Anolis sagrei: one gene and its partners. The protein of the gene in region 2 purifies or fractionates together with the protein of the main gene of each other region. This does not show direct contact. Links are inferred from orthologs where the notes say so. Each region holds a gene or a part of one and is shown on either strand. Other genes may lie near its edges. The genes, in order: RAB9A, GDI1 and RAB14.

What was found.
Region 1: the proteins of GDI1 (region 2) and RAB9A purify together in Homo sapiens (affinity purification with mass spectrometry; 3 studies listed by BioGRID and IntAct, counting the BioPlex papers as one, with this or other methods). This does not show direct contact. The link is inferred for Anolis sagrei from reciprocal best matches to the Homo sapiens genes GDI1 and RAB9A.
Region 3: the proteins of GDI1 (region 2) and RAB14 purify together in Homo sapiens (affinity purification with mass spectrometry; 3 studies listed by BioGRID and IntAct, counting the BioPlex papers as one, with this or other methods). This does not show direct contact. The link is inferred for Anolis sagrei from reciprocal best matches to the Homo sapiens genes GDI1 and RAB14.

The regions. Positions count from the first base shown.
Region 1 is NC_090023.1:91,719,280-91,723,036, reverse strand, and holds the start of RAB9A (ras-related protein Rab-9A), read left to right. Parts: upstream 1-1,457; 5' UTR 1,458-1,565; exon of another isoform or gene 1,566-1,629; intron 1,630-3,757. UniProt on the Homo sapiens protein: The small GTPases Rab are key regulators of intracellular membrane trafficking, from the formation of transport vesicles to their fusion with membranes.
Region 2 is NC_090022.1:174,395,113-174,398,869, reverse strand, and holds the start of GDI1 (rab GDP dissociation inhibitor alpha), read left to right. Parts: upstream 1-1,088; 5' UTR 1,089-1,271; coding exon 1,272-1,316; intron 1,317-3,757. UniProt on the Homo sapiens protein: Regulates the GDP/GTP exchange reaction of most Rab proteins by inhibiting the dissociation of GDP from them, and the subsequent binding of GTP to them. Promotes the dissociation of GDP-bound Rab proteins from the membrane and inhibits their activation.
Region 3 is NC_090031.1:8,552,922-8,556,678, forward strand, and holds the start of RAB14 (ras-related protein Rab-14), read left to right. Parts: upstream 1-1,090; 5' UTR 1,091-1,354; intron 1,355-3,757.

The DNA of each region.
Region 1 (3,757 bases), on a different chromosome or scaffold from region 2:
ATACACTTTGATTGTAGAGGAACTATAAATCCCAGTAACTACAACTCCTAAATGTCAAGGTCTATTTCCCTTGAACTCCATCTGTGTTCCTAGTTAGGCATATGGTATATTTGTGCCAAGTTTGGTCCAGATCCATCATTGTTTGAGTGCTCTCTGGATGTAGGTATACTACAACTCCCAAACTCAAGGTAAATGCCCATCAAACCCTTTTAGTGTTTTCTGTTGGTCATGGGAGTCCTGTGTGTCACCTTTGGTTCAATTCCATCATTGGTGGAGTTCCGAATGCTCTTTGATTGTAGGTGAACTATAAATCCCAAGAACTACAACTCCCAAATGACAAAATCAAAATGTTTTTGAGTGAAGGGCAAACATTGGGTTGTTAGGTGTGTGTTGTCCAAATTTGGTGTCAATTCCCCCAGTGGTTTTTGAGTTATGTTAATCCCACAAACGAACATTACATTTTTATTTATATAAGACTAGCCATTCCCTGCCACGCGTTGCTGTGGCCCACTCTGTTGGTTATGGGGGTTCTGTGTGGGAGGTGTGGCCCAATTCCATCGTTGGTGGGGTTCAGAATGCTCTATGATTGTAGGTGAACTACAAATCCCAGCAACTACAACTCCCAAATGTCAAGTTTCTATTTTCCCCAAACTCCACCAGTGTTCACATTTGGGCATATTGAGTATTCGTGTAGAGTTTGGTCCAGATCCATCATTGTTTGAGTCCACACTACTCTCTGGATGTAGGTGAACTACAACTCCCAAACTCAAGTTCAATGCCCACCAAACCCTTCTAGTCTTTTCTGTTGGTCATGGGAGTCCTGTGTGTCACCTTTGGTACAATTCCATTATTGGTGGAGTTCAGGATGCTCTTTGATTGTAGGTGAATTATAAATCCCAGGAACTACAACTCCCAAATGTCAAAATCAAAAAAATTTGAGTGAAGGACAATCATTGGATTGTTAGGTGTGTGCTGTCCAAATTTGGTGTCAATTCATCTAGTGGTTTTTGAGTTCTGTTAATCCCACAAACTAACATTGCATTTTTATTCAGATAGATAGATAGATAGATAGAAGATTGCAATTCACACTTGCCTCAAACAGGGAAGAGTTCTTTCTCCAAGCGTGGACATTATTCCACAGATATATAAACCCCACTTGCCTAGTTTCCACAGACCTCACAACCTCTGAGGACGCCCGCCATAGATGCAGGCGAAACGTCAGGAGAGAAGGCTACCATACTGTTCGGAAAACTCACAGCAACCCAGTGATTCCGGTGAATGCATTAATTCTACCGTAGACGCAGGCTCAGTATCAAAGGCGCTGCCAAATCCTGATCTACCAGAGACCGGTGAAAGAGAGAGAGAGAGCCGTCCACAAAGTGAGCCTGAAGGGAAGCCCCGCCCCTCGGCCCATCCTCCCCTAAACGAGGCGAAGAGGCGGCCCCGCCCGCGCCCGTGGTCACGTGAGAGGGTCAGCCCCGCCCCCATGGCGCAGACTTCTCCGCCGCCATGTTGTTTCTCCCCCTCCTTCGCAGGCCGGTGCTTCCTCTCCCTCTCCCGGAAAGGTGAGCGCCTCGTCCCACTCGTTGACCCGCGTTCCCTTTCGGCCTTGACTGGAAAGAAACAGAAGTGAGTGGGAAGTCTTGTGGGGCCGGGGGAGGAGCGGGTCGAGGGAAGCCTCCGAGGCTGCGGCGCAATGGGCCAGCTGGAGTGTTTGGCCTGAAGAGAAGGAGAGCCCTCTTCTCTTGCTTGCCTACAGTGTGTATACCAGGCCTGGGCAATCCTGGGCCTTCCAGGTGTTTTGGACTTCAACTCCCACTATTCCTAACAGCCTCAGGCCCCTTCCTTTTCCCCCTCAGCCGCTTAAGCGGCTGGGGGGGGGGGGGAAGGAAGGGGCCTGAGGCTGTTAGGAATGGTGGGAGTTGAAGTCCAAAACACCTGGAAGGCCCAAGATTGCCCAGGCCTGGTGTATAAGGTGAATACAAAACATAAGTGAATATAATGCCTACTTGGGTCCCATCTCTAAGATGTCTCATTGTGTTTAAGAAAATACAGTAAACTCTCAATTAACTGGCATCCATGGGGAATGCTAGATGCTGGATAAATGTAACTTATGGTTCTTAGGGAGCTATTATTAAAAACAGCCTTAATTAATGCTATGCCGTAACCATCAATTCTGCATTGACTCGGTATTAATTTAGAAACGTGGCACTTAAAAGCCAATTAGGTCAAACACAAACTTAATGAAACACAATTTTACTGTATTATAGAAACAGCTTTATGAATGCTGCTTTAAAAGTCAAGACAGTAATTAAAGAACAACACTCAGAAAACAGGAGAATTCCAGACAGAAAAGAATCAGGGCCAGCTAACACCTAACAAAGGATTCCCCCCAGGCAGTAAACAACCAGTCCTTGAATCTGCAAGACCATTCAATGCTAATCAAGGTGGGCAATTGCTACATTAACACTTGCCTCAAATAGACAATAGTTCTCACACGTTCTCCCTCCCGGGACTTTCCACAGATATATAAACCCCTCTTGCTGAGTTTTCAGCACACCTTGCAACCTCTGAGGATGCCTGCCATAGATGTAGGCAAAATGTCAGGAGAGAATGCTACTGGCATGTGGCCATATAGCCCAGAAAACTCGCAGCAACTCAGTGATTCTGGCTATGAAAGCCTTCGACAACACAGCTTTAAAACTTTGGGTTGTTTTTTTTTTTTTTGCTAGTTGCTTCAGTGTTCTGGTTAACTGAGACTTTACTGTATTCCAAAATCCCACATAAGTTTGGCATTTTGAATAAGGGATACTCAAGCTGTCCTAGTTACACATTTCAGCATTGCAAGAGATTGGACTAGATGGCCCTTTCCACTCTTAGAATCTGTGATTGTATTAGAGGCGGAGGAGAAAATAAGTTTTTTTCCGGTGTGATTGTTGCCTTTGGTCTCTACACAAAGATGAATGCTTTCCTTCTGTGCCAGTTAACTTCCCTTCTAGGAGTGAGGGGCTGGAGCTGCCGATCTACCTTGTCTGTTTTCCTTCCGGACTCACAGAAGTGGTGTGATTAAAGATCCCGTGATGCTGAGGCCGAGAGGCTGTTCAGTGGAGAAATTGCGTCTCTTCTATGCTTCTCAGCTGGCATGTGACCAATTTCTCTTCAGGGCAGTTTCTCAGAACTGATTAAAAATCACTGGACTGTCAGGGGACAGCTCCATTTCTTATGTATATCGCCTTTGTCTTCTTTCCTTTCTAGCTTCTGTCATGTAGAAAAACAATCTCTCTTGAAAAAGAAAATCCTGAATTGAGCTTTTTGCTTTGCTCCTTTTCCAGGGTTTATTTGGTATTCTAGTGAAGATAAGCAAATTGGAGTCTGTGTTTTTCCAGCTACCTTTGTGTACCAAGCGGGCACAAACACAAAAGGCACCTCATTAAGAAATGCCAAGTGACATAATATATTAAGTCTAACTTGTATAGCTGTAATAGATTTGACTTTTTGTTGGGAATTCAGCATTCTTATAAGGCAGAACAGCAAAAGATAGGTTTTCCTCACAGAAGATAAACTTCCCTTATGTACAGCAATGCATAAAAGTAATTATTATCTGTATAGAAATTGTGCTTTGCCATGTATTTGAAATAGAAGCTTCCCAACATGTAAAGGACCACACTGAACTTTGTTGAACTGAAATTCTTGAACACAGTAACTGAACATTTGTGGTTTCCTTGACACAGATGTATAGTTCTAACAGGGTGGGGAT
Region 2 (3,757 bases):
TCCCCCCTGGACACACAGAAGACTGGGCGACTTGGAAGGCGCTGAACAGACTGCGCTCTGGCACCACGAGATGCAGAGCCAACCTTCAGAAATGGGGCTACAGAGTGGAATTCACGACATGCGAGTGTGGAGAAGAGCAAACCACAGACCACCTGCTGCAATGCAACCTGAGCCCTGCTACATGCGCAATGGAGGACCTTCTTACTTGGAGCAACACCAGAGGCACCAGAGGCATTCCAAGTGGCCCGATACTGGTCAAAGGACATTTAATCAAACTACTAAACTCACAAATTTTGTATTTTGTCTGTTTGTTTGCTTTGTTCTGTTAGAAATGTAATATAATTTGACTGGTTGCTCTGACACGACAAATAAATAAATAAATAAATGGATACTGTTGGCATTGAATTGTTGCCTGCGTTAGCCGCCCTGAGTCCCCCCTCAGGGGTGAGAAGGACGGGGTAGAAATGGTCTAAATAAATAAATAAAGGAGATTCCATCTGAACACGAGGAAGAACTTCCTGATTGTGAGAGCCGTTCAGCAGTGGAACTCTCTGCCCTGGTTTGTGGTAGAGGCTCCATATTTTGAGGCCTTTAAACATGAGGAAGAACTTCCTGGCTGTGAGAGCTGTTCAGCAGTGGAACTCTCTGCCTCGGTGTGTGGTGGAGGCTCCTTCTTTGGAGGCTTTTAAACAGAGGCTGCATGGCCATCTGCTGAGGGTGCTTTGAATGAGATTTTCCTGCTTCTTGGCAGGGGGTTGGACTGGATGGCCCATGAGGTCTCTTCCAACTCTTTGATTCTATGATTCTATATATATGTATAGAGAGAGAGAGAGATAGAGAGAGAGATAGATACACACAGAGATGTATGCATATACTAGAACCCATCCTTGCAGTGAGGTTTCCATGGTGAAGGCAGGCCTGACAAGCCCCCTCCTCCTCCTGCCCTCAGCTGATGACAGGGAGAAACAGGGGCCGGAACTCGTTTCCCATCCTCTCTCTGCGCTGAGGCTGTGGCCAGAACACGGCGGAGGGGCACACTCCCACCCCTCGCCCTTTTCTCCATCCGCCTCCTTTGGAAAAAGGGGCGCGAGGATCCAGTTCACCCTCCCTTTTCCAAGGCGGAGCGATCTCTGCTTTCTCTCTCGGCTCTGGGACTCGTTTATTTTCCCCGGCGGGGTGATCCGCTCGGCGCGGTGGTGCGGCTCCATCTTGGCTCCGCTCGGGGCGGGGGCTCCGCGGCCGGGACCACCACCGTCACCACTACCACCACCATGGACGAGGCCTACGACGTGATCGTGCTGGGCACCGGCCTGACCGTGAGTCTCACCGGGGAAGGGCCAGGGGCGGCCCGCCTGTGGGGACTCCTTTTCCTCCGCCACCGCCGCATCCCAGCCTCCCTTCCCTTCCATTGCAGGCAGGATGCAGCGTCGCCCTTCCTTGATGCAATGGGGAGGGGGAGACCTTGCATTGCAATGGGATGGATGGGGATGGATGGGGCATCTTTCTATTTTTATTTTTCCAAGCACCCACTTCCATATTTCTCCTGCAATAATAATAATAATAATAATAATCATAATTTATATTGCAATCGGATTATGGAGATGGGGCATCAGTTTTTATTTTTCCAATAATAATAATAATAATAATAATAATAATTTGTATTATTTATATTGCAATGGGATGGTGGGGATGGGACATCTATTTTTTTTATTTTTTTCCAAGCACCCACTTCCATATTCCTCCTGCAATAATAATAATAATAATAATAATAATAATAATAATAATTATTTATATCACAATCGGATTATGGAGATGGGGCATCAGTTTTTATTTTTCCAATAATAATAATAATAATAATAATAATAATAATTTGTATTATTTATATTGCAATGGGATGGTGGGGATGGGGCATCTATTTTTTTTTATTTTTTTCCAAGCACCCACTTCCATATTCCTCCTGCAATAATAATAATAATAATAATAATAATAATTTATATTGCAATGGGATTATGGAGATGGGGTATCTGTTTTTATTTTTCCAATAATAATAATAATAATAATAATAATACTTTGTATTATTTATATTGCAATGGGATGGTGGGGATGGGGCATCTGTTTTTGTTTTTTCCCAAGCATCCACTTCCATATTCCTCCTGCAATAATAATAATAATAATAATAATAATTTATATTGCAATCGGATTATGGAGATGGGGCATCAGTTTTTATTTTTCCAATAATAATAATAATAATAATAATTTGTATTATTTATATTGCAATAGGATGGTGGGGATGGGGGCATCTATTTTTTATTTTTTTCCATGCACCCACTTCCATATTCCTCCTGCAATAATAATCATCATAATAATTTGTATTATTTATATTGCAATGGGATGGTGGGGATGGGGCATCTGTTTTTGTTTTTTTTCCAAGCACCCACTTCCATATTCCTCCTGCAATAATAATAATAATAATACTTCGTATTATTTATTTTGCAATGGGATGGTGGGGATGGGGCATCTGTTTTTTTATTTTTCCAAGCATCCACTTTCTTATTTCTCCTGCAATATATTATTATTATTATTATTACAATAGGATGGTGGATCGTGCATTACAATGGAATGGTGGAGATGGGGCATCTATTTTTATTTTTTTTCAAGCACCAATTTCCTTAATCATCCTGCAATAATAATAATAATAATAATAATAATAATATATTGCAACAGGATGGTGGAAATTGTGCCTTTATTTTTTTTCCCCAAGCACTCATTTTCTTATTTCTTCTGCAATATAAATGATAGTGATTATAATAATAACAACAGCCAGCAGAGTGTCTGCTGTGGACTCATCTTGTTGTGTTTCTAATAATAATAATAATAATAATAATAATAATAATAATTTGTATTATTATTTATATTGCAATGAGATGGTGGAGATGGTGCATTTATTATTATATTTTTTCCAAGCACCCACTTCCTTATTTCTCCTGCAATATTATTATTAATAATAATTTATATTGCAGTGGGATGATAGATCATGCATTCCAATGGGATGGTGGAGATGGTGCATTTATTTATTTATTTATTCCAAGCATCTACTTCCTTATTTCTCCTGCAATATACATTAATAATATTATTATTATTACAATGGAATGGTGGGAATGGTGCCTTATATTTTTTTATTCCTTATTTCTCGTGCAATATAAATAATAATTGTTATTTGGATTATTTGTATTGCAATGGGATGGTGGATCGTGCATTGCATTTTTTATTTTTCCAAGCACCCACTTCCTTATTCCTCCTGCAATATAAATAATAATAATATGATGATAATAATAATAATAATAATAATAATAATAATAATAATAATTGTCCTTCCATGCTGTGTATGTGGATTTCCACCTCATTGGCTCTGTTCTCCTAATGGAAATGGGTTTGGCCCCATTGCAGCTCCTCTGATGCAACCCTCCATCCATCCTCAATGTCTGGGTACCAATTGCAAAGCCTCTTTCTCTCTCCTTCCTTCTTTCCTTCCGTCCGTCCTTCCTTCCCTCCCTCCCTCCCTTCTTTTCCTTCTTTACTTTCATCCTCCCCTTCCTTATTTCCCTTCACTCTCTTCTCTTCCTTCCAACATTTTGGCCAGATCCTTCTTATTTCCAACCCATCCCTTGTCTTTAAGATAACAATCCTTGTGTAGCAGACAGTGTTTCCTTCTGTGCTTATTTCAGTGCTGCCAATTGCCCCGGGCGCTCTGTTGGTT
Region 3 (3,757 bases), on a different chromosome or scaffold from region 2:
CAGTCAGGGATGACTGGACTATATTACTAATAATATTAGAATATAATGGTACAGTGCAATATAGAAATATATAATACTGATATTGTACTATGCTAATAATATAATATATTGTATGGCAGAGGTCTCCTGTACTAATAATACAATATAATATATTATTATATAATGTAATATAATATAAATACATATATTTATATTATAATGTAGTACAATATAATGCTGCTGCTACTAATAATATGATATTATAATTATATATTTATATTACATGTAATATTACTAATAATATTACAATTTAATGGTATACTGAAATATAGAAATATATAATACTGATATTGTACTATGCTAATAATATAATATATTGTATGGCAGAGGTCTCCTGTGCTAATAATATAATATAATAATATAATATAGTTATATTATAATGTACTACAATATAATACTACTACTAATAATGTGATATTATGATTATATATTTATATTACATGTAATATTACTAATAATATTAGAATATAATGGTACAGTGCAATATAGAAATATATAATACTGATATTGTACTATGCTAATAATTTAATATATTGTTATATGCATATAAATACATAAATATATTATTTTATATCATTTTATGTTGCAATTCCCCTTCCAATGTGCTCAAAACACAAAAGACTAAAAAGGTGGGTGGAGACTTTTTTCTATTCTGGAACCCTATTGGTCGGCTTCCGCTGACAGACATTTGTAAAGCCCGCCCGCTTTAAGATCTCGCGATGTTTGGAGCCCTGCTCGCCGCGAGACCACTTCTTTTCTCCCCTTCCTCTAAGGCGCATGCGCTTTGAATGCACTCTCCGGCCTGCCCCCCCGCCCTTCCGCATAGAGGTCCCACGAATTCTGCGCAGGCGCACTCCAGCCTCAAAAAGAGAGAAACCCCTCTGCATGCCACACCCCTTGACAACAACACCCTCCTTGGCCCCTCCCCCCTCCGGTGCCAATCACCCTTCAGCCCCGCCTCCTTTCCCACTTTTCTTGTTTCTCGCGTTCCGCCCGCTTCAAATCTTGACCCCTTCCCATTTGGGAGGCGGGCGCTCTCTCGCCGCTCCGGCCCCTCCCTCCCAGAAGTGGGCGGGGAAACCTGTGTGAGGGGGGCAGCCGCCATCTTGGATAAAGTCTGTGTGTGTCTCTGTGAGGGGGAGAAAAACCTGGAAGTGGCGGCCGGAAAGGGGGAAACTCAGCGCGAGAAGAGTTAAGAGAAGGAGAAAGAGGAGGCTGGCTGGTTTCCCAAAGGGAGGAGCGAGAAGGGGAGAGGCCGGTCGCCGTCGCAAAGCGGAGCCAAGCTGCCCAGTCACCGCCATTCCTTCGGACCCGGGTGAGAAATCGAGGCCGAGGCCTGAGGCCTAGCTGCTGCTGCCCTTGTGGCGTTGCTTGGCAACGGGGCGGGGGTCCCTTTGGCCCCGCCCATTCCGCCAGAGGCCTCTTGCTGTTTGGCCTTCCAGGCCTAGGCCTCGCCGAAGCCTCCCACCCCCGCCTGCCTCTGCTGGGCTATGCCATTAAGGACACAGGCATGCGATGACACACGGGAGAGGGATCCTTTCGTGTTCCTTGACTGGAAACCCCCTTCCACACAGCTGTGTAGCATCCACATTGAACTGGGTTATATGGCAGTGTGGACTCAAGTAATCAAGGGCCCTTCCACACAGCCATATAACCAGGTATATCAAGGCAGAAAATCCCACAATATCTGCTTTGAACTGGGTTATCTGATGGCCCATCCACACAACCATATACCCAGAATATCAAGCCAGAAATTCCACAATATCTGCTTTGAACTGGGTTATCTGAGGGTCCTTCCACACAGACCTATATCCCAGAATATCAAGGCAGAAAATCACACAATATCAGCTTTGAATTGGGTTATCTGATGGCCCTTCAACACAGCCCTATAACCCAGTATATCAAGGCAGAAAATCCACAATATCTGCTTTGAATTGGGTTATGTGAAGGACTTTCCACACAGCCATATAACCCAGTATATCAAGGCATAAATCTGGTCCTTCCACACAGCCCTATATCCCAGAATATCAAGGCGGAAAATCCCACAATATCTCTTTGAACTGGGTTATTTGTGGGCCCATCCACACAGCCTATATCCCAGAACATCAAGGCAGAAATTCCAAGATATCTGCTTTGAATTGGGTTAGCTAAGGGTCCTCCCACACATCCCTATATGCCAGAATATCTGCTTTGAACTGGGTTATCTGATGGCCCTTCCACACAGCCCTATATCGCAGAAAATCCCACAATGTCTGCTTTGAACTGGGTTATTTGAGGGTCCTTCCACACAGTCCTATATCCCAGAATATCAAGGCAGAAAATCCCACAATGTCTGCTTTGAACTGGGTTATCTGATGGCCCTTCCACACAACCATATAACTCAAAATATCAAGGCAGAAATACCACAATGTCTGCTTTGAACTGGGCTATCTGATGGCCCTTCCACACAACCTTATAACCCAGAATGTCGGCAGAATATCCCAGTATATCAAAGTAGAAAATCCCACAATATCTGCTTTGAACTGGGTTATCTGAAGGCCCTTCCACACAACCTTATAACCCAGAATGTCAAGGCAGAATATCCCAGTATATCAAAGTAGAATATCCCACAATATCTGCTTTGAACTGGGTTATCTGATGGACCTTCCACACAACCTTATAACCCAGAATGTCAAGGCAGAATATCCCAGTATATCAAAGTAGAATATCCCACAATATCTGCTTTGAACTGGGTTATCTGATGGACCTTCCACACAACCTTATAACCCAGAATGTCAAGGCAGAATATCCCAGTATATCAAAGTAGAAAATCCCACAATATCTGCTTTGAACTGGGTTATCTGAAGGCCCTTCCACACAGCCCTATATCGCAGAATATCAAGAGAGAAATCCCCCAATATCTGCTTTGAACTGGGTTATCTGTGGACCCTTCCACACAGCCATATAACCCAGAATACCAAGGCGGAATATCCCACAATATCTGCTTTGAACTGGGTTATCTTAGGACCCTTCCACACAGCCCTATATTCCAGAATATCAAGGCAGAAAATCCACAATATCTCCTTTGAATTGGGTTATGTGAAGGACCATCCACACAGCCATATAACCCAGTATATCAAGGCAGAAATCCGGTCCTTCCACACAGCTCTGTATCCCAGAACATCAAGGCAGAAATCCCACAATATCTGCTTTAAACTGGGTTATTTGAGGGCTCTTCCACACAGCCTATATTCCAGAATATCTGCTTTGAATTGGGTTATCTGAGGGCCCTTCCACACAGCCTTATAACCCAGTATATCAAGGCAGAAAATCCCACAATATCTGCTTTGAACTGGGTTATCTGAGGGTCCTTCCGCACAGCCTATATCTCAGAATATCAAGGCAGAAAATCTCACACTCAGATAACCCTATATTATGGGATATAGGGCTGTGTGGAAGGGCCTGAAGCCCCTTTCACTCATCTGTATAAAATCCGCATTAAACTGGATTATCTGGCAGTGTGGACTCAGATAACCCAGTTCAAAGCAGATATTATGGATTATTTGCCTGGATATTCTGGGTTATATGGCTGTGTAGAAGAGCCCTCAAGCCCCTTTCACAATGCTGTATAAAACCCACATTGAACTAGATTATATGGCGCTATGGACACAGATAACCCAGTTCAAAGCAGATATTGTAGGTTATGTGCCTTGATATTCTGGGTTATATGGCTGTGTGG